Arabidopsis thaliana: one gene and its partners. The protein of the gene in region 4 interacts with the protein of the main gene of each other region in a pairwise test. Each region holds a gene or a part of one and is shown on either strand. Other genes may lie near its edges. The genes, in order: HDA9, FLK, HDA05 and HOS1.

Region 1 (5,701 bases), on a different chromosome or scaffold from region 4:
CCTCTGCACCAGGAAAACAATTATTTTCAGTCTCCCCATTGCTTATCATTTTCTCTGTTTCTTTATTCATTTATGTTTTCGTTTTACATTCTTTCTAATGAGTTTTTATTTTCTCTGTTTCTTTATTCATTTGTGTTTTCGTTGTATATTCTTTCTAATGTTTTTTTATTTAACATCGAGTCTTAAGTTGCTCGATTTATATATATACATATACATCCATCTGATTGCAAATGATGAGTTAAATCACCATTGATAAAAGAAGCTCAATTGAGCAGTGTTGGCAATCAAAAACTTCCATGACTCTGATGCAAATTTTGATCAAGAAAAATCAAATCCTTGATCTTTTTTTTCTGTTCTTTCTCAGATTTTGTTAATTATCACTGAATTTTGCTTTTCAAATGTATTTCTGTTTAGTCTTAATAATTCTCTGTGTATTTCTCACTAGCGTTTTTAAATCTATTTTTTCTATTAATCTTTAGTGTTTTTTACTAACAAGGCTGCCTAAAAATAAAATTGAATTTGATCAAGTGCAAATTGTACTGTACAATATATAACGAATTTGATCACTATATAAGTCACAATGATGAGAAAGTGAACCAAAAAGCTTCATTCATATACACCAAGACGAAAACATGAAGAAGATGGAATCAATCAGAAGTGGTTTTGGTGCCCCAGTAGCCGTTAAAGTGTTGATATCATTACAAATCTCATAACTAAACAAAAAAATTAACCAACAATTTCTAAGAATCGATGTTTTATGACGCATCGTTATCGTTGTCTCCATCGAAATATTCATCATCCCTCTGGATCTGCTTATCCCGTGAACGCTCTGAAACATTCCATATAGAACATTAGTCACTAAGAAAACAAAGGGACTAAAGTAGAGCCTTGAAGGTGGTTATCGATACTTACGATCCGCACGTACATCCGGGTTTTGTTCGTCTTCATCAAAATCCGGTATGTAGAAATCCGGTGGAACCTAAGAGATTCAAGTAAAAAAACTGATCAGTGTTAGATTGATAAAAGCATCAATTTGTCCTATGATGATCTGAGTTTACCTCCTGCATTTGTACGCTTGGAGCGTGTTGAATGTATCGCAAATTCTCCAAAATCTGCACTTTGATGGAACTGATGTACGATTTGGTATTAAGATTCTCCTGTTTTCATTTCAAACACACAAAATGATTCTCAATCTCTCTTTAGATTTTGTTAAAGCAATGAGGAACTATAAGTTACATAAGAGCTCCTTACAATGTGACCACCCGGTATCTTCAAAGAAAAATCCGGCGCAAAATACTTTATGTAGTCGTTTTCAGGAATCTCTGCAGAAACAACTAACCCCTGAGCCCCCAAAGACCGCAAACATTAAACTTTCTCTAACAAATATTGAAAACCTAACCATTAGGAAGTTCTGTGTCCAAAAGAATGCCAGTCTCAACGGTCCAACAACGAGCTACATTCTCCTTTGTGTATCCTCCACCTCCTGTAACCTAATAAACAATCAGAAAGAACTGACTTCGTCATCAATGAACTTAAGATTACAGAAACGCGTCATACATATATATAAGTTGAGAGATTAGATACCAGTAAGGGAAGATTGAACTTCTTCACGAATTTAACACATTCAGCATGTCCTGTGAAATGCATAGAGAAAGCCATTTCAAAACCCGATTCGCAAAGAAATTAGCAAACGGGAGATTGAAAGAGAGAAAGAGATTTTGATTACAAGAAGAAAAAGCACCATCAATAGAGAGATTAAAGCATCCTAGTCGATCCCTGGCTAGTGAATCTGCCCCGCATTGAAGAACAATTGCACCCGGTTGATATATCTCAACAACCTTGGATATTATCTAGAGATCAAAGGAAATGATGAAACACAAATAAACGGTGAACGCATCGAGAATTTTTCATTGTTTTTAGTTAAAGAACTTACAGTCCTGAAAAGACGGTTGAAACTACTGTCATCGATACCATCCTTCAGCGGCACATTAATGGCGTAAAATTTCCCTTCTCTTTCTCCTATTTCCTTTTTAAAGAAAAAACATCACAATGACAATTCAACCAAACACATTGAAACCGTCCTCACAAATCAGGAAAATGAATTCTGAATATTACCTTAACATCGCCTGTCCCTGGAAAGAACTTATCCCCAAACTTATGAAAGCTAACAGTCATTACTCTACCACCACAAAATTTAAAGATATTGGCAATCAGTTTCTATAGTAACAGCTTTCGAGAAGTAGTGTTATGGATTTGTAACTGTACCTGTCAGTGAAGTAAAACGCTTCTTCAACCCCATCACCATGATGAACATCTATATCTATGTATAGAACACGGGGATGGTGTTTTAACAACTCAAGAATTCCTAGCACGAGATCGTTGATGTAGCAAAACCCAGATGCATCACATTTTTTGGCATGGTGCAACCCGCCCGCCCAATTTATAGCAATGTCACAGAGTTTGTTGTTTAACCTGCGTGCAGCATCTATAGACAAAATTCTCGGTCAGTCGTTTCTCTAAAGTGACAAGCAAACATGAATACCAACTGTGTATATTTACCTATGGTTCCGCCGGCGTAAAGTTGACAAAATTCAAACAAATCTTCAAAGACAGGACAATCCTCTCCCAGATTATCTGCAACACAGTAACTTAATTTCAGCTTAACATGTAGATTACAAAAACAAATTAATGAAGACACAAAACTTACATCTAGCCATTTCATTGGGGAACAAGTTCTGGTTTTCTGGATTAATTCGTTGCAGGAACTCTACATAGTCAGGAGAATGGAACTGAGCCATCTCGATAGGATATGCTTTGTGTGGACGCTGAAACAATAGAGAACATATACAGATTTCAATCGAGATGTACCGTGATATCATAAACAAAAAGAATAAAAGGATCAAGAACAAAAACAAGAAACATATATGATGAGCAAGAGACACTAACATAAACTTCCATCTTGCTATGCAGGCCATATGCAAGGATAAGATGATGGGTCATACAAAGCCTGTGAGGTTTCATCGGGTGATTCGGACCAAAATAGACACTCCCCACATCCCCTGCAACCCAAAAAAAAACATTCAGCATAACATCACAATCTCATATAAACTGCCTCAAAGGCTCCAATCATCAACAAGAATATAATCTGAAACTCGCATCAGAGTTTGAATCATGCAGAAAATCTGAAGTACGAAAATGAAAGTTATATAACTATCAAGTCTATAAAAGTTTCTCAGAGAGGAATCTCGAAAGAACACAATTTCAAACATTATATGCAATGCCAAATTTAACAAAAGTTCTAGGGTTTCATATTTTAGCAAAGAAATAACAAAGACTTGACCAAACCAATCAAAGAAGTCAACTTCACAGGTACTAGAGTCGTCTTCACCACAAGAAGGCTTCTATCTTAAGCTTAAACTCAGGCCAAAGAATCGAAAAAATCAGAAACTTCACCTAAAACCCTTGTTCTTTTCATCAAAAACCCTACTCAATTCTGGAGTATTTCCAAACTAATCGTAACCCTTTACTTATTCTAGACTATAGATATGAAAGATTTCACCTTTCGATGCATCGATTGAGCAATAAAGACAAAAACTAGTGCGGTTCAAGTGGATAAAACTTGCTCAAGAGTTACATCAATCTCAAGGATTTTGGAGTTTCTTTACCATAAATAAAGAAGAAAAGGGAAAGAAATGAATATACCATCATAAAAGTAAGAGATTTTGTCCTTGGAACGCATCTCTTAAAGAAGAAAAGACACGAAGATCGTACGAAATCAATCTTAAAGAAAGATTATACAGAGATATTTCAGGTCTGCTTAGATTCAGTAGAGAGATGAGACGATTTCTTCATTGATGAAGTCGCAGAGATTTCACGATTCTCCGGCGGAGCCGAGAAGAGAGCAGCAACGAAGCGAAAAGAAGAAGAGAGAAGAGAAGAACAAGGGGAGAGTCAAAAGTGAAACGATGTCGTTTTAGTGTTCTGATGACATGACAGATGACGTCATTTAAAGTGTATTTGATAAAAAGCGGTTTTGACTCATGGTTTTATAATACCAGACCGGTAGCTTTCCATCATTTGAACCGAATCGAAATTGAATTTGATACTGTGTATATAAATCAATCGATTTAGTTATATCTTCTTCTTTCTCTTGTCTGGTTTAGTATACATCTTCAATTTCAAAACATGTAAACTGAATCAAATTCGACCAAGGAATGATCACAATCAAAATGAGAAAGAAAACCAATTTCGAGATTATAATAGTAAGAAGTTGTTAGATTATATAAACTTGTTGAGTTATTTACTTGTTGATCTCCGATGTCAATGTCACTACCAGAGACCAAAAAAGACCAACGTCTCGTAACCACTGTCTACTTGATTGATAGGTCGATACAAACCACCGACCAAACAATCTAAAAGACAGACAAAAATCTCAACATTTTAAAGTCAAGTTCAACGCCAAAAGAAAGCATATCTACTAACCAAGATAATATCCTCCATTGCCAAAAAACTTCAATCCTTGAATCTGTTTCTAACCTTTTTCAGACCAAAAAAGAGCCGAGATTACAACTTTAGGATCCTTCGTTTTCACACCCATCCTTTGAAAACCTAGGAGCTTTTCTCTCTCAATCTTGTTTGGAGGAATCAACAATGTTGAGAGAAATGATGACCTCAGGAGAGGTACCTCTTATGGGACTTACCTTTTAGGTTTGGGTTTCTAACCTGATGCAGTCTATGTTTCACATGAACACGTGAATCTTCTTCAACACGCCCACCTAACCGCTCCTTTGCAGATAATCGACGGCGTCGAGTTGATGTGTGATCAACATTACCAGAATTCCTTTCATCAGCTGAGTATCGGAATTGTTCTCTGCTTATTCCTCCATCCACTGCATAGTTCCCTAGCTTGTCTCTGTAATCATATGCTACTTCATGTTCACGGAACCTTTTACTATCTGCCTTCTCATAAGACATTCTTGATTGCTTAGCATCCCTGTAGTTGTAATCATAAGGCATATTCTCATGCATAACCTCACTTGCGTTGTCTCTAAGACCATAATCATCTCTTGTACGCAAAATTGAATCATTCGAATGATAAACCTCTTGTCTACCATCTTGATATCTCATATTGGCATAAACTTTAACATCACCACCATTACGTCGTTGCAAACGCTCATCATCCAAGTAGACTTGATCTCGGTCATCAAAAAGATATCTCCTGCCTCGAAGAGCTTCCTCATCTTGCTTGCCAGCTGATGATCTACTGACATCAGGATGCATCACCCCATACGAATCAATTTCATGATCTCTTAGGAGTTGCTGGCTTTCATAGGGCAAATAGGCTTCCCTTCCGTCATTCGAGGACATTCCTTTACGCTCTAGAGCTCTAGCACCTCCTCGGTCCACAATCTCTGCTTTGGTGACAGCAGGATACATCCTCTCATCAATGCCAGAGTCGTAGTACTTCAGTTGTTGTTTATTGTAATGCTGATAAACATCCTTGCTTTCATTATCCAAATACGCTTCATTTCTATCAATGAAGGCTACTCTCCTAAGCTCTAGCGCCTTGGCATCTCCATGGTCTACTATAATATCTGACGAGTTGACATCACGATATATCCTGTCATCAATGCCATAGTCATGATCTTTCTTAAGTTGTTGGCTTTCGTAATGCAGATATGCATCCCCCCTTTTATAATCC
Region 2 (6,584 bases), on a different chromosome or scaffold from region 4:
ACAGGATCCAAGTTTCCAACACCAAGAAGCCATTGTTCTTCTACGTTAATCTCGCCAAGGTAATGATCGGAAACCTAAATTCATCACCGGATCTACGGTTTTTCAGATCAACGAGTCTTCCTTTTTCTCAATTTTGACTGATTCTGTTTACTAGAGTTCGAGATTCGCTTGATTTTAAGATTGTAGATTCAGTTAACGAAACATCGTTTTAGTATCTTGAAACGAACAATCAGTATTCGCCTGGATTTTGTTTCCGATCTGTTTTTGGATACTTGTAGTATTGATTCAGGATCGATCTTTATCTATTTGATACTTTGTGTCCACCAAGTGTTTGATTGTATTACTTAGAGAGTAATTGGATCTTTTCGTTGTTTGATGCAGAGGTACATTCAGCAACACAACGAGGTCGAGCTTTCTGCACTTGGAATGGGTATATAGACTCTTTCTTTTACCTTTATCTTTTTTATTTGATCGGTTTCTCATCTTTTGCGTGTATATGTATATAATCATTAATGTGTGTATAGCAATCACAACTGTGGTAACAATCTCTGAGATCTTGAAGAACAATGGACTTGCAACAGAGAAGAGTGAGTCAGATCTCTCCCTTCTTACCATCAATCTTTGAACCTTTCGTTCTATTGAAGAAACTGTTTCATCTCTGGTCTGTGTTGAATTACAGAGGTGCTAACATCGACTGTGGGAATGAAAGATGAGACAAAAGGGAAGATGGTCCAGAAGGCAAAGGCGAGTTTCTTTTTTACTACTTCCTTATACCCTTTTGAAGTTTTATTTATCTCCTTTTGGGTTTGTTATTGTTGCAGATTGAGATAGTGTTGGGCAAGTCAGACAAGTTTGACTCTTTGGTGCCACCTGTGACCAACGGCAAGACTCCGGAGGAGGAAGCCAGTGCAGAGACGGAAGCTTCCGTGGAAGCACAAGAAGAAGTTGCCGCTGCCACCGAGGTCTAGGTTGGAGCCGGTTGAGAGATTTACTGCAGAAGGACTGATTTCTCTTTTACTATGTTTTGTTGGCTTTTGTTTCGTTTGTGACATATCGAACATAATACTCTAGATATGATAGTAATTGTTTGTTTAGCAACAAATAGTATTCTTCACTCTCTGCTTCCATTTAGGATCTTGAACAATATTGATATAAATATTTTTCTCTGATTTTTCTCAACTTTTTTAGTCTTTGTCCTTAAGGCAAAAATAAAGAAAAGAAGTTTTCAAATTAAAATTTGTTTCGTGGAAAGCACTCCCATTTGTGCTAAATAACTGAAGACCAAAACAATGTTGCAACCTTAGCACCAAATTTTTGTAGTTATTATTTGACGACTCTATAATATCAAAATCTTCTATAAGGTGTCCACTATCTGCAAAATCAATGCAATTTCTGTGAAATAACTAAGCTTACATAGTAAAGTCTAATGAGAATAGTATAATGTTAGCCTAAAAAAAAGCAAAGTTAAAAGAAAATTAAAACAGGTATAAATTGAACTAATAATAAATAAATTAATAAGAAAAAAATGTTTGTTCAATGACCTATCCCACTTCCAAATCAATAAAATAGATGTTAAAAAAAAAAGTTATGATAGGCCTTAAAGCAGATCACGGCCCATACGAATGTGACTTTGGATTATAAATATACGGGCTAGCTCAATTTGACAAAACTAGAAGCTGTTAAAATTAGAAGGACTAAAGTGTTAATAAAAGAAAAGTTCACTAGTTGTCGATCTCAACTTTAAGATAATTTTCACCCGCCTCCATTGTTACCGGAATCTCTCTCTTTCTCCGCCGAACTTCTTCGAATCAAGTTTCCGTTTATCACTCTAATATTGTTAAAGTTTCCACTGATACCACGTAATTTCACTGGGTTATCTTTAATCCTAAGTTTAAGCTTTTGGGGCTATAGTTCTTTCTTTTTCATTGTCAATTCTAGGGTTCCTCGCTGGGGTCTATATGTTCGCTGTGTTAATTTAGGGTTTTCACTAGTCCGAAAACGATATTTTCGTGTTTCATTAAGCTTATATTTTTCTTTACTAACTGCCTCTAGTTTATAGATGCTATTTTCTGCAGAATAAGCTTAGGCTAAGTTGATACCTCTTATATGAAGCAGCTATTAGGTGACCTAGAATAATTTGTTAGATTTTGAATTTTGAGCATATTATTGGCGAAGCTGTTACTTTATAGATGCAAATGTTTTAATTCTAGGCGTTATATTTCTTTCTAACACATGCTTTATAACAATAACTTGTTGAAGGAAGTGAAATCTTCAATGAAACTTTAACTGTTTGTATATGTATAACGGGACTAATGTGTGTTATCTGGACTCTGAATTTATGTCAGCGCTCTAGTCATGGCTGAAGCTGAAGATCAGCAAAATTTCGTTGCACACAATGGAGATCAGGTACCAGATCAAGGGTCAGATGAGTTGCATAATGGGTTACCGTACCAGGTTCATGATGAGACCCTTGTTCACCAACCATACGAGGTTGAAGATCCGATTCTTGAACCTCAGCAGTACGAGGTACCAGATCCGACTCTTGAACCACAGCAGTACGAGGTACCAGATCAGACTCTTGAACCTCAGCAGTACGAGGTTGATGATCAGTTAGAGTATCATCAATACCAGTTGCAGGACCAGGCTAATGAAGATGTCCAAGATCATTCGCAAGATGACCTACAATATCAGCCACAAAATCAGGAGCAGTTTCAGTTACAAGACGAGGCTCATGATCAGGCTCAGTATCAGGCGCAAGGTGATGTACAAGATCACAATGGTGATGAAGTGCAAGATAAAGTAGAAGATGAGGAAGGAATTCCTGAGCATCTTGAGTCTCTACAGAAATCAGAGCCTGAAGAAGATGCGACAGTTGGAGGTGAGGAGAAGAGGTGGCCGGGATGGCCCGGAGAGACGGTATTCCGTATGCTGGTTCCTGCACAGAAAGTGGGTAGCATCATTGGTCGCAAAGGTGATGTCATTAAGAAAATAGTTGAGGAGACAAGGGCTCGAATAAAGATTCTCGATGGTCCTCCAGGCACAACAGAAAGAGCTGTGAGTCTCTAAATCCTTTTTTCCCTTTCATGTTATATGAGTTGCAGCTAGTAGTCATATAATGCTCTTGAACTAAAACTAAAATCCTAGTGATAAGAAAACTAATATAGTAGAATACATACACTTTTTGGCTGTATAAGTCACTGATCTAAAGTTTTCAGGCACTAGCTTTTGTTAAAAATGTTAAAAAGCCATGAAATTTTAGTTAAGAGGCAACCCTTTTCATATTCTCCCCTTGACGTTAATAAATATATAAGTAAACGGATAGGAGGAAACTGAACATCCCTTTTAACTCAAAAAAGTTATGAACTTTGTCAGAAAAAGTGTTTTAATGGGGCTGAGTGATATGATCCTGAGCTGCTAAAAAACGTGTTGACGAATGTATAGTGCATCAAGCGAAACCATCTTAGTTAGTAATTATACCTATATGGAATATAGTAACCAGCAGGCCTGCTTATCATTTCCTTCAAGTGAAAGGAGGAAGTTAATCGGCGAAGTTGATAAGATGTGAGTAGGGTTCCCCTTTATTGCTGTGACCACCATGAATCTGTGCAGGTTTTATCTTGCAAGTTTTATGGCAACAATCATCGGTAAGGTCTCAAATATGAAGAACCAAAGCCAGATGGCAAGGATTCAGCCTTGAGCACTACATACACAGTGCTGATAAGTTTATCGAATAGGCAAGATTCTTCTTGTATAAACCTCAGTTCCATGAAGCTCTGCATTCTTTCTGGTAACTTCAGTACCTGGATGATTGATGTCTTGCTGCAGACTTTCTGTAGCATGCAAGGACCTGCTTAACCGGATGTAACAATATGTGGACGATGAGATTATGGTTTAGGCAACAATTAAGTAAAGAGAAATTTTATGTTTGCATGAAAAAGATTCTATGAAGAGGTTTTTTAAGTCTAGAAGGTTGGTAATGGCTGCTATGGCATCTTAAAAGGCGATAACCTAATCACCATGGGTAAAAACTTTAAATGAAGATTATAACAGGAAATAAACATCTAACTGGTCAAAGTGCATTTAAGTCTGTACCTCTTTGGAATTTTCTTTATGATTTGAGAAATATGGCACCAAAATAATAATTGGTATAGATCCTAAGATCGCTGTTTGTGAAATGCTTTAGTCATTTGGTAATGTTCTCTACTTGTTTCCTCTTTGTCGCAGGTTATGGTTTCTGGTAAAGAAGAGCCCGAATCATCTCTACCACCTTCTATGGATGGCCTTCTTAGAGTCCACATGCGGATAGTTGATGGTTTGGATGGTGAAGCTTCTCAAGCCCCTCCGCCTTCAAAGGTGTCAACAAGATTACTAGTCCCAGCATCTCAGGCTGGAAGTTTGATTGGAAAACAGGGAGGAACAGTTAAAGCTATTCAAGAAGCATCCGCTTGTATAGTCAGAGTTCTTGGATCAGGTTCCTTCTCTTCACAATTTACATGCTGAAAAAATTCTTTCTTGCTTTGTGTTTTTGGTTTCAGTTGTGCTATGGACTATTCCCTATTTTCCCCATATTTGTAGAGATAAAGGCCACTATAAGTTTCTATGTTATCTTCATCTGCAAGATTTGCTGAACCATTCAACATCAAATGTTCAGATTGGCTTAGATTCTGAAATAACTTCAACTTTGTTTTGGTGTTTGTTTCGTTTATTCCTTATCCATTGGTAGTTCTAACTGAAATTTGTTATGGTGGAGTTTTGCAGAGGATTTACCTGTTTTTGCTCTTCAAGACGATAGGGTTGTTGAAGTTGTGGGGGAACCAACAAGTGTTCATAGAGCCTTGGAGCTGATTGCGTCACATCTCAGAAAGTTCTTGGTTGATCGTAGCATCATCCCATTCTTTGAAAATCAGGTTATCTTTTGTTCCGTTGTATGTTTAAAAATGTTTCTCATTTGTCTCTATTAACGTTTTTCTTTACTCTGCGTTTTAAACAGATGCAAAAGCCAACTCGCCAAATGGACCATATGCCACCACCACACCAGTCATGGGGTCCTCCTCAAGGTCATGCCCCAAGTGTTGGTGGAGGAGGCTATGGTCACAACCCACCTCCATATATGCAACCACCTCCTAGACATGATAGTTACTATCCTCCTCCTGAGATGCGTCAACCTCCAATGGAGAAACAGCCTCATCAAGGTATATCTGCATATGGTAGAGAGCCTCCTATGAATGTGCACGTATCATCAGCCCCACCAATGGTCGCTCAGGTATTCCGCCAATCTCTGCAACATGTTATGAAGTTGACTGTTCAATCTACTGCAATTTATGTATGTAAAGTAAATCAATGAAAATCTGAGTGGTGTGGGGATTTGTTTGTTTTGCAGCAAGTTACGCAGCAAATGCAGATTCCACTGTCTTATGCTGATGCTGTAATTGGGACGTCGGGTTCAAACATAAGCTACACTAGACGTCTTAGTGGAGCAACAGTAACTATTCAGGAGACCAGGGGAGTACCTGGTGAAATGACTGTTGAGGTTAGCGGAACTGGCTCACAAGTCCAAACTGCCGTGCAGCTTATTCAGGTACCCCTATATTCTCACACCAGATTTCTTAACCATTGTAACCTTTAAACCCTCAAAACCGAGGCAGAAGCTAGTGTTTTTTTATGATGAAATCTGACTGTTGATTGTGTTTTATGACAGAACTTCATGGCTGAAGCTGGAGCGCCGGCACCAGCACAGCCTCAAACTGTAGCACCAGAGCAGCAAGGCTATAACCCATACGCAACACACGGCTCAGTTTACGCAGCGGCTCCAACAAACCCGCCTGGAGGATACGCTACGGATTACAGCTCAGGCTACGGTTACTGATGAAAGATTTTAAGTTTCTTTAGAATGTTTTACTAGTAGTTGCAAGCAAGAGTGGAAACGCTAGATGCCTAATCGAGTATATGTTGTTATTAGCGAGCACTCTGTGTACTGACAATCAATTATTATATCACTTGTTTTGAGACTTCTTCATTTGTGTACTATTCATAACATTGATCTAACCGGAAATCTTCTTTATATTCAAAAAAAGTAAAAAAAAAAAAAATGTATGGTTCATTATCGTGTCCTTCACGATTTTCTCATCCCTTTTTAAGAGAGATTATTAGTCTATGGTAAATCATTGTTTCATAATTTGGTGCTTGAATGAATTTCTGTGTGGGAATTGTTATATGAATCAAAATATAAGTTAAAAAAAGTATAATCACATAATACTTTGTGAATTTCAAACCTAAATAAAATACATTCCAAATGGGAAATTAAATGTGATCTCAGGAATAAAAAGAAAAAGCGTTGCTGCTTAACTGCTCGAGCTGAGCATATAAAATAAGGAAGGAAAGGATTCAACAAACAGGCAATGTAATGTTGTTCTCTAGGTAGTTGCCTGAAATCTAGCAATTGATCAAGAAAGATCGAATTTTATACTACACTGAGCAGAGTTTACCCCTGCGGTTTTTGCTTCTTTTCCGATAACTCACTGGAGTCTGCGGTTTTGTTTCTGTCAGAGAAGTCCACACAAATCAGATCTGTGAATACAATGAAG
Region 3 (6,486 bases), on a different chromosome or scaffold from region 4:
GATATTATTTTGCTTTCAGCTGGATTTGATGCAGGTTTGTATGGTCTAACCATTTGTTTCAAGGCTTTGTGACGGTAAGCTGTGTGTAATCTTTTCAACTTCTTCTTAACAGCTATTGGTGATCCGCTTGGGGGTTGTTGTGTTACCCCATATGGATATTCAGTTATGTTGAAGAAGGTTGGTGTTGAAGTGAACTGCCTCTTTTCTCCATTGTTTCTATTATGCGTACCATGGCTTCTCTACCATTGAAAATAACAAAGCTACATAATTTTACTTGGATATGACATCATTTAATTGGTTTCTCTCAGCTGATGGAGTTTGCACATGGAAAGATAGTGCTGGCATTAGAGGGAGGATACAATCTTGAGTCATTGGGAAAGTCTTCACTCGCATGTGTCCAAGTTTTGCTTGAAGACAAACAAATTCATGGTTCATCTGAAACATACCCATTAGAATCTACACGGCGTGTCATACAAGCGGTATGGCTCTATATAACCCTAACAGTCTGAAATTTTGTATGAATTGGCTACGATTTCTCTTTTCAGCTCAGTTCTTGTGTCATAAATATTGTATATCGCCTATGTTACTAATTGACAAAGCTCATCTGTTTCTTGTGGGTTTAGGTACGCGAGAGACTATGCACATATTGGCCTTCACTTGACGCGTCAATGGCGTCTAATGAGAATTTAAAGAACCCAAGTGCAGAAAGAAACTCCGCTGACGCCCTCCTTCGTGAAGTGGAAGAGTTAAAGTCTCTAATGGCTGCCCGAGATGGAGAACTGGAGGCAAGGAGAAAAGAGTTAAAGGCCAAAAATAAGGAGCTAGAAGCGAACGAGAAGGAGCTAGAAGCGGGACTAATGTTGATTCGCGCTCGGGAGGATGTAATCTGTGGTCTTCATGCAAAAATAGAGAGTTTGCAGCAGGAGCGAGATGAGGCGGTAGCGAAAGCTGAACGCATAGATAAGGAACTCCAAGAGGATAGGGCAAGAAGCCAGGAGTTCAAAGAAGACACAGAGTTTTGCTTGAGTACGTTAAGGAGGGAGAAGGAGCTTGCCATCATGGCCAAAAATAAGGACCTAGAAGCGAAAGAGAAGGAGCTAGAAGCGCGGCTAATGTTGGTTCACGCTCGGGAGGATAAAATTCATGCCAAAATAGAGAGGTTGCAGCAGGAGCGAGATGAGGCCGTAGCAAAAGCTGAACGCATAGATAAGGAACTCCAAGAGGATAGGTCAAGAAGCCGAGTTGGGAATGGATCTTTTGCCTTTTCTCAGGAGTTCTATGAAGACATGGACTTAGACGAGCTCGAACCTCTGTCTCCGGAGTTCAATGAAGACATGGACTCGGAAGAGCTTGAACCGTTTCAGGTCATCAAGAAAAACATGGAGCGTTCCCACAAGAAGTTCATAAAAGATATGGAGTGTATCAAGTTTATCGCCAGTGAGAGAGCCAGGGTACTTTAGGTTGGGAGCTTGAGGCCGTAGCAGAAGACTACCACAAGTTTCGCGAGATGGTTGATAAGCTCGGGAAGAGCAACATATACCCTTCTTAGAAAGTACAATGGTGTTTCATTGTAACCACAGAACCTTTTTGTGATTGTAAACCAACTGTGTCGTGTCAGACTTTGATTGGTTGCGATACTTGGTTTCCCAATTTCCCTCCAAAGAATCTCCAAATTGGTCAAACTCTCAAACCTAAAAAAAAAAAAGGAGAGAATGAAAAAAAGAAAGAATTGAAAAGTAAAAAATACTTGGAAGCTTTAGAAGCTGAGAGCAAAGACTTGACCTTTTTCACTTCCTTCTCACTGATCGTCGAACAATAAGGCCGTCGCATCTCCCAGTTATGGCTATGGCCGGAGAATCTTCCGGCAAAAAAATTGGAGACTGTGACGGTAAAGTCGCGGGGAACAGACAGCGAAAGGTGGGTCTTATTTACGACGAGACGATGTGCAAACACGACACACCTGACGGCGAGGATCACCCTGAGTGTCCCGACCGCATCAGAGTTATCTGGGAGAAGCTTCAGCTCGCCGGAGTTTCTCAAAGGTTCATACTTTCTCTCTTCTTCGTGCGGCTTTGTTGTTTGTTTGATAATATAAGCCCTAGAAAATGCTCAAATTTAGTCAAATTGGGTACTTTCTGATCCTGTCAGCTGAGAAACTGGTCTCAATTTGTTCTTCCTTGTTCGGTATGAAATTTACTTTTCTCAATTTGAATTGTGCATTTCATAGAATCAAAAGGTTTGTATGCTGCTCAATTTTAACGGTAACCCTTCATAAATTTGCTACCTTTTCGTTATGTTCGGTCTTGTGTTCGAGTTATTTCCTCCATGTCTGTTTTATAACCCTCTCTGATATCAATTTTATATTTTTCATATTTGTTTGAATTTCACTCATAACATTATTAATTAGAGTAATGTGGCAGCACATTAGTTAGGGAAGGTGGAATCTAGTCTTTGAGGTGTGTATCCATCACGATTTGTTTTTCGATTCGGATGAATTGGCCTGCTATGTATTGACGATCTTGGTCTTTTCTTTTGCAGATGTGTGGTTCTTGGTAGTAGCAAAGCAGAAGATAAGCATCTCCAATTGGTTCACACAAAGGACCATGTTAATTTAGTTAAGAGTATTAGCACAAAACAGAAAGATTATCGGAGAAACAGGATTGCTTCACAGTTGAATTCGATTTATCTGAATGGAGGTTCATCTGAAGCCGCATATCTTGCAGCTGGTTCTGTTGTAAAGGTAATAATACTAGTTGATTTGTTTCTTTTTACAATAGGAGGATACATTAGAAACTGTTAGAATGATTTGATTGAATATGGGGTAACAACATTTTTCTTTCAACTTGACAGTTGGCAGAAAAAGTTGCAGAAGGAGAGTTAGATTGTGGTTTTGCTATTGTCAGGCCCCCAGGGCACCATGCTGAGGCAGATGAAGCCATGGGTTTTTGTTTATTCAACAATGTTGCCGTTGCTGCTAGTTTTTTACTAAACGAAAGAGTAAGGACTTGTACTGTTTGCTTTTAATTACTGTCAAATTCTTTGGTCACATTCCTTTGGAGTGCGTGTTCCCAACTTCTTTGCTTTTCCTGAATGCAGCCGGATCTAGGGGTCAAGAAAATTCTGATCGTTGATTGGGATGTCCATCACGGAAATGGTACCCAGAAGATGTTTTGGAAAGATCCTCGTGTACTATTTTTCTCTGTTCATAGGTATGTAATTGTGACCATTGTTTACTCTTCTTATGATGTCGCTTGTCATGATTTAAGGAGCCTACTTTTTACTCTATTACCCCTTTGCTTGATTTTTACGCTTGGAAAGTAACTGGAAATGCATTTTTGGTTAGGCATGAGTATGGGGGTTTCTATCCAGCGGGTGATGATGGCGATTATAACATGGTTGGGGAAGGTCCAGGTGAAGGGTTTAACATAAATGTTCCATGGGATCAAGGACGATGTGGAGATGCAGATTATCTTGCTGCATGGGACCATATCTTGATTCCTGTGGCGAGGGAATTTAACCCGGATGTTATTTTTCTTTCAGCTGGATTTGATGCAGGTAAACATGGTTTAAGCATTTTTTTAAGCTATGTCTTGTTCAGAGGTGTGTAACCTTTTCAAACTCCTCTTAACAGCTATTAATGATCCGCTAGGGGGTTGTTGTGTGACCCCATATGGATATTCAGTTATGTTGAAGAAGGTTGGTGTTGAAGTGAACTCCCTCTTTTGTCCATCATTTGTATTTGCGCTCCAGGGGTCTCCATCATTGAAAATAGCACTTCTTGCTTTAGCTGGTTGTTTGTCCCTGAGCTAAATAATAGAAACTTGCATTTAATATCATTCTGTTTCTCCAATGTTCTCTCAGCTGATGGAGTTTGCACAAGGAAAGATAGTGCTGGCGTTAGAGGGAGGGTACAATCTTGACTCAATTGCAAAGTCTTCACTTGCATGTGTCCAAGTTTTGCTTGAAGACAAACAAATTCAAGGACCTCCGGAAGCATACCCATTCGAGTCGACATGGCGTGTCATACAAGCGGTATGGCTCTATATCATCCTATCTTTTAACTTTCTTATTTCACAATCTGAAACAACCTTCCATAAATGGGCTGTAGTCCTCATGTTACTAGTTGACCAAAACTCATCTGTTTCTTGTGGGTTTAGGTGCGCAAGAGGCTATGCACATATTGGCCTTCACTTGCAGATGAATTATCGTGGAAGCTAATTAATCAGAAAACTCCTACTCCAGTTGAGCACCCTTCTTTTTGTCTACCATTTCAGTTGTTCATTGTTCATCAGAGAGCGTTTCCTTGCCAGATCGGATTTAGAAAAACCTCACTATTTTTAGCAACCACTTCTTAACTTCTTTGTCTCTATACAAATTTTCCTTTGCTTGATCTTCTTTTTAGGCGACAGACTCGGTATTTCTTATCACATAATTTCTTTCTTATTTGTTCACTATAGATCATCCTTATCTCAAGCTCCGACTCTGAAACTGAAGACAACGCCCAAGGACTCCTGGATCAAATGTCGAAACTCAGCATTGAAAACCCTCAAGGTACACTACTTGAAAACCACCAAGTAGAACCTGCATCTACATCTTGGAGAGCTGATCTCGCAAAGGTTGACGTTTGGTATGCCTCTTTTGGATCCAACATGTGGAAACCAAGGTTTCTTTGCTATATTCAAGGGGGACAGGTAAGTAACCTGTTTTGTTTTGTTTTCGGGGTCGAGTCTGGGCTTTGGTCTAACTTGACACATCTATGGCTGTTTGTGTTTATTTTTAGGTCGATGGATTGAAAAAGGTATGTGTTGGCTCAATGGATAAAAGTCCACCAAAGGAAACAGTGTGGGAAACATTTCCACATAGATTGTTCTTTGGCCGTGAATCTTCAGTTGGTTGGGGTGTAGGAGGAGTTGCTTTCACCAACCCCCTTGCTAATCTCATTGATCAAACTCACATGTGTTTGTACCGTATCACGTTAAGTGTACCACTCTTCATCGCAGTTTCCGTTCACTTTCCCTATTTTATTCATTTGGTGATCTTCTCTACTTATTCACTATGGATGTTATTTTTGTGAACAGGCTTGAGCAGTTCAATGACGTTCTGTCTCAAGAAAATGGTTTGAATGTGGATTCAGATTCTCCGGTCTTTGATCTAGCTGCTTTGCAGTTAGTAGATAACAAAGGATCCATTTTAGAAGCTCCTTTGGTTAGTCAGATAACAAATGTTGATTGATACGCTTATAAAACATGTAATAATCACACTTATACTCGTTTATTGACATTTTTACAGAATAGTTGGTATGGAAATGTTGTCTGCTTGGGAAAAGAACGCGACATTCCTATACTTACAATGACGTAAGTTTTCATCATTCTTTTTCTTTTGCTGCTCATAAACCGAGTTAAACAGCTTTCATTTTTTTTTTCCTGAGGTTTCTCAATAACTTTGTGTTTGCAGTTGCACGCTTTCCGCTGTTGAGAAATTCAAATCCGGTGAGATCCCTATAAGACCTCCTGCAAAAGCTTATGCCAACACTTTAATAAGGGGACTTGTGGAAGGAGGAAGATTATCTAAAGAAGAAGCTGAGGCTTACATAGACAAGGCTGTGTCTAAACCTCTCTAGTGTATAATTATTTACTCAGAAACCGCCCGTTTGAACACGATTTGGAGCTTCGGGTTTCTGAGTTATTCAATTAGGATAAAAACCACAAGTTTAGGAATATTGTGAGACCTTTGAATTTGTCTTTTGAAAGAGAGGACTGTGTCCTCTGTTAGCTGTGTTGTGCTTGCTCCCTAAGCAAACTCTCAATGTATTTTAGTTATCTTCGGGTTTTAGGCTTTACCAAGAAGCTGTATTCGGTAAATGTATTAAAGAACCCTCCAAACTGCTTTATATTGACCGGAGAGAAACATTCTTATTCTTCGGAATGGTACTTTGAAGTTTGAAGAGTTATTTTAAAAAAAGATTTAACAGCACTGTGAAGAGTTCTGGTCAAACAAACCTATTTAAAAAAAAGAGATTGGAAAACATGTATAAATAAAAATTGAAACGTAAAAATACTTTGAAGCTTCAGAAGCAAAGATTGGACCATTTCTCTTTTTTCTCCCTGCTCGTCGAACGATAGACTCTCTCATCTCCCGCATATGGCCATGGCCGACAAAAAATATGGAAACTGTGACGGTAAAGTCGCCGGGAAAAGCCAGCAAGGTACACTAGTTGAAAAGGAGCAAGTAGATACCGCTTCTACATCCTGGAGAATTGATCTCGCAAAGGTTGACGTTTGGTATGCCTCTTACGGATCCAACATGTGGAAACCGAGGTTTATTTGCTATATTCAAGGGGGACAAGTAAGTAGCCTTGTTTCGTTTCTTTTTGGAGTCTGAGCTTGTGTCTTAATTGACACATCTATGGCTGTTTGTGTTTATTTTCAGGCCGAGGGAATGATAAAAGCATGTGTCGGTTCAATGGACAAAAGTCCACCAAAGGAA
Region 4 (7,856 bases):
TATAGTTCACATCAAAGATCCAAGGAGCATTACTGTCGGTTCGTTTCTTCACGAGATATGTAGCACAATTTCCGAGAGAAGCAAGCACAAACACAAGCGTAGTGCAGATCCAGACAAGTCCATACCTAACAGAAGCACACACGAGTCATTAATCAAGAATAATTTGTGAAAGGCCTAGCTTTTAGCCAATCTTTAGAGGATAACATATTATGATGCTTTCTGTTCATTTGTCCAAGAGAAAATGAGGATATTTTAATCAATCGCCTGAAGTAACATAGGAGTAAATGAATAGCAAGATCATGCTTTCGGAAAGGTGCAGAAGATAACACTTAGAACGGTAACAAATTAACGGCATGACTGAGCAATGGACCGATTAAAGAAATTCGAAAGAACTCTCTCATGGTAAGTACAATCACCAAGAAGAGTGAAGGAGAAAAAGGCATTAAAAGACTTACAAATCAGGGTTTGCATCAATCTTGTTGAAAAAATCTCCACTAGTAGGATATAAAGAGCTCATTAATCTGTTCAAAACAACGTCCGTGTCCACGTCGAAGTATTGGGTATATGAGTAGACATTAAAAAAGCCCTTCCAGTTGTTTGATGGCTGTTGTGCTGGTCCTTCTACTGGAGCAGATAAGATATATCACCATATAAGACAGAACAAGGTGAAAACAAAGGTATATAGGATCTTGACATCCATAAGAAAAACGAGGTTGACTCACACAAGTATTCTTTCAACCATTGTACTGATTCATGGTGACTACAGATAAAAATATCTCCTAAAAAAGGAATCTAAAAGGAGCATATATACCTGTTGGGCTCTCAAGAGTTTGATAACCCTTTGTATTGTTTCCTAGATTCGGTGGAAATATTTGCATGCTTGCAGAAGGGCCTGCAATAATGCAGAAGACATACAACACTCAATGTCTTTCACTACCGGAAAAGTTCTTTGCAAAAGATAATTCAAGCAGAAACTAGCAAAAGAACACACCTTCATTGACGCTTGCTATTGGTACATTTGTGCTTCTCTTGTCGTCGCTGATCACAGCCTAAGAATACAGATGTTTGTATCAGACATAATAACACGGGGATAGTCAATCCATTCACTCAAAACATTTATCTTAGCGGATTCAATCCAAAATGAAGCTATCATGCAAGCATTTAAACTCAAATACAGTTTTGTTTTTCATACGAATTGTCTCCTAAAATGGTGAAAAAACTTAAATAAAACGCCTTAACAAATATAGAAACCCAGAAATGCAAATAAGGAAATCGTCCATTGTTCTATGAGTGTGAAGACTTTAGGCATCATCGTGGACGCGAAAAAATATGACAAAAAAATCTGAAAAGTTTCAAAATTCTACTTCCTAATGTAACACTTGAGACAGAACAACAAACAAAATGATGGCATGAACAAAAAACGTTAATTTTCCCTTCACACAAACAAGGATCATAGAAAAACTCAATCAAAGAGCTTATTGATGGTGAAATGAAAGAAGCAATAGATGTAATATAGACTTACCGGAACTGAACCAAGCAAATGGCTTGATTGTAGATTAGCGAACGACTCATCCATCGATCAAAGAGAAAAAGATATCAAAGAAAAACTTAGAAGATAGGTTCTTCTAATCTCATTCAAAAATCGATAAGATCGGAAAAAAGGTCGTCCCTTTTTCTGAATTTTTAAGGTTTCTGGGTTTGCTTCTCCTCCTCCGTCGTCGTGGAAGCAATTGGGAAAGGAAGAGAAACTAAAGAAAGAACGATCCACGCGCTTTCTTAGCAAGTCGGTAAAACACGCGCTGTTCACTTTCGGACACGTGATTTGCCGACTTGGGCCCAGACAATCACAAGATTCACACAAGACTTCAAAAACAAAGGCCCATATTTAAATTTTGACCCGAATCGTGATTTGCCGACTTGGGCCCAGACAATCACAAGATTCACACAAGACTTCAAAAAGAAAGGCCCATATTTAAAATTTGACCCGAATTAAACAATCCGACTTGACCCGTTTGAGGAGAAATTCACTCAACAGTGTTTCCTCTCTTCGTCTTCCCTCCCGAGAAAGCTCAACGGAGCCCTAGACTGGTTTTATCACTCTCGCCAACACCAACCACGCTTTTTCTCTCTTTACCTCCATTTTTGTATTCGTCACCGGAGTAGATGGATACGAGAGAAATCAACGGTTTTGCCTCCGCCGCGAGATCGATATCTCTTCCTACGCAGCCTAATTACAGTAGCAAGCCTGTTCAGGTTCTTCCGCTTTATACCTTTTTATTTCTCCACTGAATTAGTTTAGCTCAGGTCTTAGGATTTCTAGGTTCAGCTTAAAAAAATGGGTTTTGCAGAGCTTAGAGTTAATTTCGAATTTATTGTTTGTAACTTACAGGAGGCGTTGAAACATTTGGCATCTATAAACCTCAGAGAATTATGTAATGAGGCAAAAGTTGAGCGATGTCGTGCAACAAGAGACTTAGCTAGCTGTGGAAGATTTGTGAACTATGTGTTGAATCCATGTGGTCATGCCTCCTTGTGCACAGAGTGTTGTCAGAGGTGTGATGTTTGTCCTATCTGTAGAAGTACGCTACCAAAATTTGGAGATAGACTTAGGCTTCGTCTCTATTATGAGTGTGTTGAAGCTGGTTTGATTTCCCGAACACATGAAGAGGCGTCACAGGATTCGGATGAGGATGAACATCAATTGGCAGCTGATGTTCATCGCCTTTATTCTCTGTTTGATGTTGCTATGAACAATAATTTGATCTCGGTGGTTTGCCATTGTATCCTTCAGTTGCATTTATGCTTGGTGTCTGATATATGCATTTAGTCTTTTAGTTTCCTGTTTGATACTTTCATGAATTTCTTTTAGATTCGTATGCTTGTGCTATTAGGAACTGTGTTTATATGGGGAGTTTTGTACTGATAGGTTCATGTATTTTTAGGTAGTTCTTGTTTCATGCTTGTCTCTGTTGGGCGAAATGTGCATAGTGTTTTTGTCATTCATTCTCTAAGAGGTATTTTATGTTGGATGCATAGTTGACATCTCCTTGACAGAAAATTAATAGATATCACCAATGTCTGTATGGATGAGACAGCTGTATCTAGTGATCCGGTCATTGCTTTCTTGCTGGATGAAGTTGTTGTCAAGGATTGGGTCAAGCGTACATTCCGGAGCACCTTAGCTGAACTTCAAGAAATCTGTATCCTTTTAGCTGTTAATATTTTTATGTTTCTTAAGACTGTATATTTGTGCACCGTAAGGTCTGTCTATCTTTAATATTGGCCCTCAGATAATCTTGAAACAAAAGAGATGCAAGCGTGGTTAGATAAACTCCTAAGGTGTTCCAAACAGGTGGCTGGCATATGTAGTGTGCTCGAAGTTATGGAATCAGCTTTTAAGGGTTCTGTGTCACCTCAGCTTCAAGATGTGCAGACGCTGAGAGAGAACATTGGTAAAACAAAGCAGGTCAGCCATGATTTCATTTCATTGATATCCAAACAGTTTTGCAAAAGTATGCTTAAATAACTCTCTTTATCCCCCTTAGAAATATCCGTTGTACATTGAAGTTTCCTACGTGCATTAATGTTTAGTTTGCCTCTGTCATAGAATGAGTTACTTGTTTTGTATACGGCTTGCAGTAAAGTTTGTACTGTAAAAGCTTTGCATTTAGATGTATGAAAGGCACGATAATGGTCTTCCATCATCAGCTTGGATCTGATTTTCTATCCCTAGCTTTGTGACTTTATTCTTCTTTTCTTTTTTAATGTCATTGCATATTAGTGAATGTAGATGGGGTATATGTAACCTATCTTTATATGACATACTGAATAGTAAATGAGTATAACCTTATGGCTTCTGACCAGAGAGTGTTTTAAATAGATCAGCTCTTTAGCTATTGGTGCAAGATCACTGAGCTTACGTGTGCTTACCCTATTCTTTTTATTTTATTTCAGCATTTGGACATAATGGTCTGGTGCATCAGACATGGATTTCTGGATGATGTGAGGTCTCGATATTCGAATTTCACATCGTGGAATGCACTGGTAGGGGAAAGAAAATCAAATGCAGTTAAGCGTGCATGGCCTGATGCTGTAGACCAGTCTTCAGATTGCAGTGTACAGAGTGCTTCCCTCTTTATTGAGGATGCTTTAGAAAATCTTGAGAGAGAGCCAGAATACAGTCAGGAAATAGGTGCCGACCTAGAAGTTGGACGTTTACAGAAGGATAAGAGATCATTTCTTAGGTCCAAAATAGAGGGAACTTCAGGATCTTATCCATTTGAGAATCTTAGAACTGCTGCTGACATGCTCTTTTTACATGGCGGTTCAGATTTGGTTGTTGCGAAGCAAGCAATTGTATCCTTTTGTCATCGCCTAGTTTCACATTACATTGCACTTTACTTTTAATGAATACTTGAATCAGGAAACATTCCCATGTTTTTCCTTTACGCTGGTTTCCTTAACCAGAAGATAGTTTCTTTACTACCTGTTTGATCGGCATTGGACTACCCCTGAAAAATATTGGAAGCACACTATAGATGATTTTGCTGCTACGTTTGGCATAACGAGGCATTCATTGCTGGAGTCTTTTGTATTTTATCTTCTCGATGATCACTCAGAGGAGGCACTCCAGGTATCTTTTGGCATTCCCAAGGAAAACTTATAGAAACGTGTATTTTATTGTGCCATACATTTATTAATTGGTGTAGCTTACAAACTTTCCAAATTATATTTCAGGAAGCTTGTAGGATTCTACCTGAAATATGCGGTCCAGAAACCTACCCCAAAGTTGCGCAAGTCCTGTTAGAAAGGGATAACCCTGAAACAGCTCTTATGGTCTTGCGTTGGTCTGGTCGTGATGGTGTATCAGAATTGGTTTCAATTGGTGAAGCTGTCACAGCTCTTCGTGTGAGAGTGGAATGTGGTCTTTTGAGTGAAGCATTCACATACCAAAGGACACTCTGCTTGAAAGTAAAGGAAAATAATTTGAAAAATGGAGCTGTGAAACATGCGTCTGATGATCTAGACATCTGGAGTTGGACGGAATGGATGGAGATACTTGTCAATGAATTCTGCTGTCTTTCTATTCGGAGAAACTTGGTTGATCGAATCATTGAGTTACCGTGGAACCCAGATGAGGAGAAATATCTGCACAGATGCTTATTAGATTCGGCAACTGATGACCCCTCATCAGCTGTGGGTAGTCTCTTGGTTGTCTTTTATCTTCAGGTAAGTAATTATATTTTCAAACTTTAAATAACTTCACTTGAACAATGGGCTGAGAATTGTTTTTCAGAACGAGAATAGCTTTAGCAACAGGCAAATAGATATTTAGACAGCAGCTTAAACCTCCCGAGCTTTAAGCTACATATTGAAAATTTTAATAAGGGATCTCAATGATGGCTCTGTATAGAATTAGCTCATTCTATAGAGACTGGTATATGTTCTCGTATTTGATGTGTGGCTTCAACAATCTTTTATAATTCGAGCTTGGTGTAGTCTGGGATGTTGGTTAACAAGCATGAAATTATTTGAACAACCAGGGAAACTGCATCACTATAGACCATGCTTATTTTCTGGAAAGTTATTATCTTTTGTATATGGTCTTTCTTTGACTAGAAATTACTGGTTGTTCACATTGCTGCAGCGCTACCGTTACATCCAGGCATACCAAGTCGATCTTAGGCTTCAGAAAATCGAAGAGGCTTTCGTATCCGACAATCAAATTGGGGAAGAAGTTATGTTCAGAATGCGATCACAGAGTCATTGGAGAAAAGAGTTAGTTGTAAGTATTTCAGCCAACTTTCCATGTACAAGTGGATCCTTCCATAGTTCCTTGTTAAAGGCTACATCCTCACATTTGCGTTTTAGTGCTTAATAACCTGTTGATGCTTGCAGGATTGTCTAGTATTCTGAAACTTGAATGTACAATATTACTTGATACTGGCTTTTTTTAACTGGACATTTAAACCTCCCGTGTCTCTGCTCCTTTGAAACAGGATAGAGCCATAGATATACTTCCAGTAATTCAGCAGCAGCAAGTTAGATCTGGACAATTTTCTGAGATGGAAGATGCCTCTGAAGGAGCAAAAAAATCTGATCTTCCTGATGCACCTGACATGATTACTTCTTCAGTTCCCTTTGCCACTACTAATTCCGTTTTTCTCCAAAGTGCTAACAATGCCAGAGCTAGAGAGCCAGTGGCTAATAATGGCAGTCCTTTTCAACCTGGTCATATGATAGGAAACGCGTCCCATGATCTTTCACATGGAAGGTTATTTACAAACGCAAATAGAGGACAAAAGAGTGAAGTTAGAAGCGTAACCAAGAATCTGAAATTCGGTGAAATGTCAACTCCGTTCAAAGATCTAAATAGAGCTCGTGGGAACAGCCAGCTCCAAGGGAAAAGGACTGAAGAATCCTCTCCAGAAGTAAATGTTGATAGATACATAGAGAATAATATGAGCTCTCCTTATCTCCGCCGAATCACAGCTAACAATCCCGTGACAGTGAAATCTAGCAGCAACCATCTCAATGGATCTTCACAGAAACCGGAATCCACCTTTTTTGGCACAAGGATGCAACCAGACAAAGATAACTTTGTTGATTTGGATGATCCAATGGACATGTCTTCGAGGTATTCCTCTCTTCTTTATCTCTTAGCCATTTGTTCCTTTCTGAATCGTGCCATTAAAGTAGAGGACACTGGTATTGTTTGGTATAAAACTATTGTTACCGTTTGGTTTGAAAATAAAGTCCAGTTTGGTTTCAGTCTAAGGAACTTTGTTTGGTTCTTATGTCCACGGCTTTTAGTCTTATATTGGATGAGCTACATATCAATTGTGTGTATTATGAATTGCAGCTTAAAGGACAACAACAACAATGTCTTGGCCACGGAGAGCAGAAATAACAGTGGTGGATTGAGATGGCGGTCAGATGAAACAAGCGATGACGAAGATGAACTGACTAGTTTTGGTTCCATGCCGGTGAAGGGAAGGAGGAGACGTAGATTCGCAGCAAGATGAAATGAAACAAACACTCGAAAAGACCATCATCAATTATGTTTAAAGCATAGAGAAAGAGAGAGAGAGGTAGAGCAAGTTGTGTAAAGAGGGGAGAGAGACTGTTACAGTGAGCGTTGTTCTCCTGTTATTTTTTGTGCTGAATTTTGTGTATTTCTTCTCTAGTCTACCTTTTTTGGACAGTTATTTTAAAGATATCATTGTGATGAGCGGAGTGATATTATTATTATGAGTATGTTTAATTTCTTATATTGGTGCAGCTGATTGTTGAATCGTAGAAGTTATAACAACACATTGAGATTAAATCATTTTCTTTTTACATTCACAATTTCCTCTCAAAATTTTAATTTTTAACTTTTTTATTATTTACCAAAACTAATAAATGGAAATAAGTAGCATAAGCTTGTTCCAAGTTTCTGATATATAAATAGGGTTTTCGGAAGAGAGAATAGGGTCTCTTCCTATCGTTCCGTCACTTTTTGTTCCGATTTGTCGACAAGGTAAACCTTAAAACTAAATCTTTCAATATAGCATAACCAATGATCCGAAAACCTAAATCTTTCATTCTCTGTTTCTGCCTTGGATCTGTATTGAAATTCATAATCTCATATTAGGTTTTCGTGTTACTTAATTCCGCAGGTGTTTGTTGGATCCATATCATGGCGACTCGTGAGTTTCCCTTAAGCTTTAGCTTTTTATACGATGCTTTCTTTTCAAGTTGCTTACAGGATTGTTCTTTTTTTTTCTGTTCTTGTTTTTGGCAGGTCTTCAATATGATAACAATAATTGCGAAATTGGTGTCTTTTCCAAACTCACAAATGCTTATTGTCTCGT

The links.
Region 1: the proteins of HOS1 (region 4) and HDA9 interact in a two-hybrid assay, tested with the Arabidopsis thaliana proteins (one study listed by BioGRID).
Region 2: the proteins of HOS1 (region 4) and FLK interact in a two-hybrid assay, tested with the Arabidopsis thaliana proteins (one study listed by BioGRID).
Region 3: the proteins of HOS1 (region 4) and HDA05 interact in a two-hybrid assay, tested with the Arabidopsis thaliana proteins (one study listed by BioGRID).

What each region holds. Positions count from the first base shown.
Region 1 is NC_003074.8:16,226,014-16,231,714, forward strand, and holds HDA9 (histone deacetylase 9), read right to left. Parts: upstream 3,997-5,701; 5' UTR 3,740-3,996; coding exon 3,703-3,739; intron 3,060-3,702; coding exon 2,947-3,059; intron 2,826-2,946; coding exon 2,708-2,825; intron 2,635-2,707; coding exon 2,560-2,634; intron 2,486-2,559; coding exon 2,266-2,485; intron 2,180-2,265; coding exon 2,116-2,179; intron 2,027-2,115; coding exon 1,934-2,026; intron 1,851-1,933; coding exon 1,742-1,850; intron 1,635-1,741; coding exon 1,585-1,634; intron 1,491-1,584; coding exon 1,400-1,490; intron 1,323-1,399; coding exon 1,252-1,322; intron 1,158-1,251; coding exon 1,059-1,157; intron 980-1,058; coding exon 913-979; intron 830-912; coding exon 756-829; 3' UTR 506-755; downstream 1-505. Other genes in the region: AT3G44690 (uncharacterized protein), read right to left, coding at 4,672-5,701. UniProt on the Arabidopsis thaliana protein: Responsible for the deacetylation of lysine residues on the N-terminal part of the core histones (H2A, H2B, H3 and H4).
Region 2 is NC_003074.8:1,250,044-1,256,627, reverse strand, and holds FLK (RNA-binding KH domain-containing protein), read left to right. Parts: upstream 1-1,643; 5' UTR 1,644-1,859; exon of another isoform or gene 1,860-2,345; 5' UTR 2,346-2,355; coding exon 2,356-3,054; intron 3,055-4,224; coding exon 4,225-4,471; intron 4,472-4,758; coding exon 4,759-4,907; intron 4,908-4,990; coding exon 4,991-5,263; intron 5,264-5,380; coding exon 5,381-5,578; intron 5,579-5,698; coding exon 5,699-5,866; 3' UTR 5,867-6,075; downstream 6,076-6,584. Other genes in the region: DAN1 (Alba DNA/RNA-binding protein), read left to right, coding at 1-59, 382-430, 525-587, 680-744, 822-968.
Region 3 is NC_003076.8:24,566,271-24,572,756, reverse strand, and holds HDA05 (histone deacetylase 5), read left to right. Parts: upstream 1-1,765; 5' UTR 1,766-1,839; coding exon 1,840-2,042; intron 2,043-2,538; coding exon 2,539-2,740; intron 2,741-2,850; coding exon 2,851-2,997; intron 2,998-3,096; coding exon 3,097-3,209; intron 3,210-3,343; coding exon 3,344-3,555; intron 3,556-3,631; coding exon 3,632-3,708; intron 3,709-3,861; coding exon 3,862-4,032; intron 4,033-4,157; coding exon 4,158-4,241; intron 4,242-4,457; coding exon 4,458-4,691; intron 4,692-4,780; coding exon 4,781-4,974; intron 4,975-5,078; coding exon 5,079-5,205; intron 5,206-5,289; coding exon 5,290-5,354; intron 5,355-5,454; coding exon 5,455-5,620; 3' UTR 5,621-5,974; downstream 5,975-6,486. Other genes in the region: HDA18 (histone deacetylase of the RPD3/HDA1 superfamily 18), read left to right, coding at 1-34, 113-177, 309-479, 624-1,460; AT5G61050 (histone deacetylase-related / HD-like protein), read left to right, coding at 6,142-6,345, 6,430-6,486. UniProt on the Arabidopsis thaliana protein: Responsible for the deacetylation of lysine residues on the N-terminal part of the core histones (H2A, H2B, H3 and H4).
Region 4 is NC_003071.7:16,610,778-16,618,633, forward strand, and holds HOS1 (ubiquitin-protein ligase), read left to right. Parts: upstream 1-1,999; 5' UTR 2,000-2,163; coding exon 2,164-2,253; intron 2,254-2,389; coding exon 2,390-2,780; intron 2,781-3,065; coding exon 3,066-3,200; intron 3,201-3,290; coding exon 3,291-3,466; intron 3,467-3,954; coding exon 3,955-4,356; intron 4,357-4,474; coding exon 4,475-4,633; intron 4,634-4,737; coding exon 4,738-5,229; intron 5,230-5,647; coding exon 5,648-5,785; intron 5,786-5,999; coding exon 6,000-6,637; intron 6,638-6,862; coding exon 6,863-7,025; 3' UTR 7,026-7,345; downstream 7,346-7,856. Other genes in the region: AT2G39805 (Integral membrane Yip1 family protein), read right to left, coding at 1-125, 456-624, 812-892, 992-1,049, 1,523-1,576; eIF6B (Translation initiation factor IF6), read left to right, coding at 7,682-7,691, 7,787-7,856. UniProt on the Arabidopsis thaliana protein: E3 ubiquitin-protein ligase that mediates ubiquitination and subsequent proteasomal degradation of the transcription factor ICE1. Acts as a negative regulator of cold signaling pathways.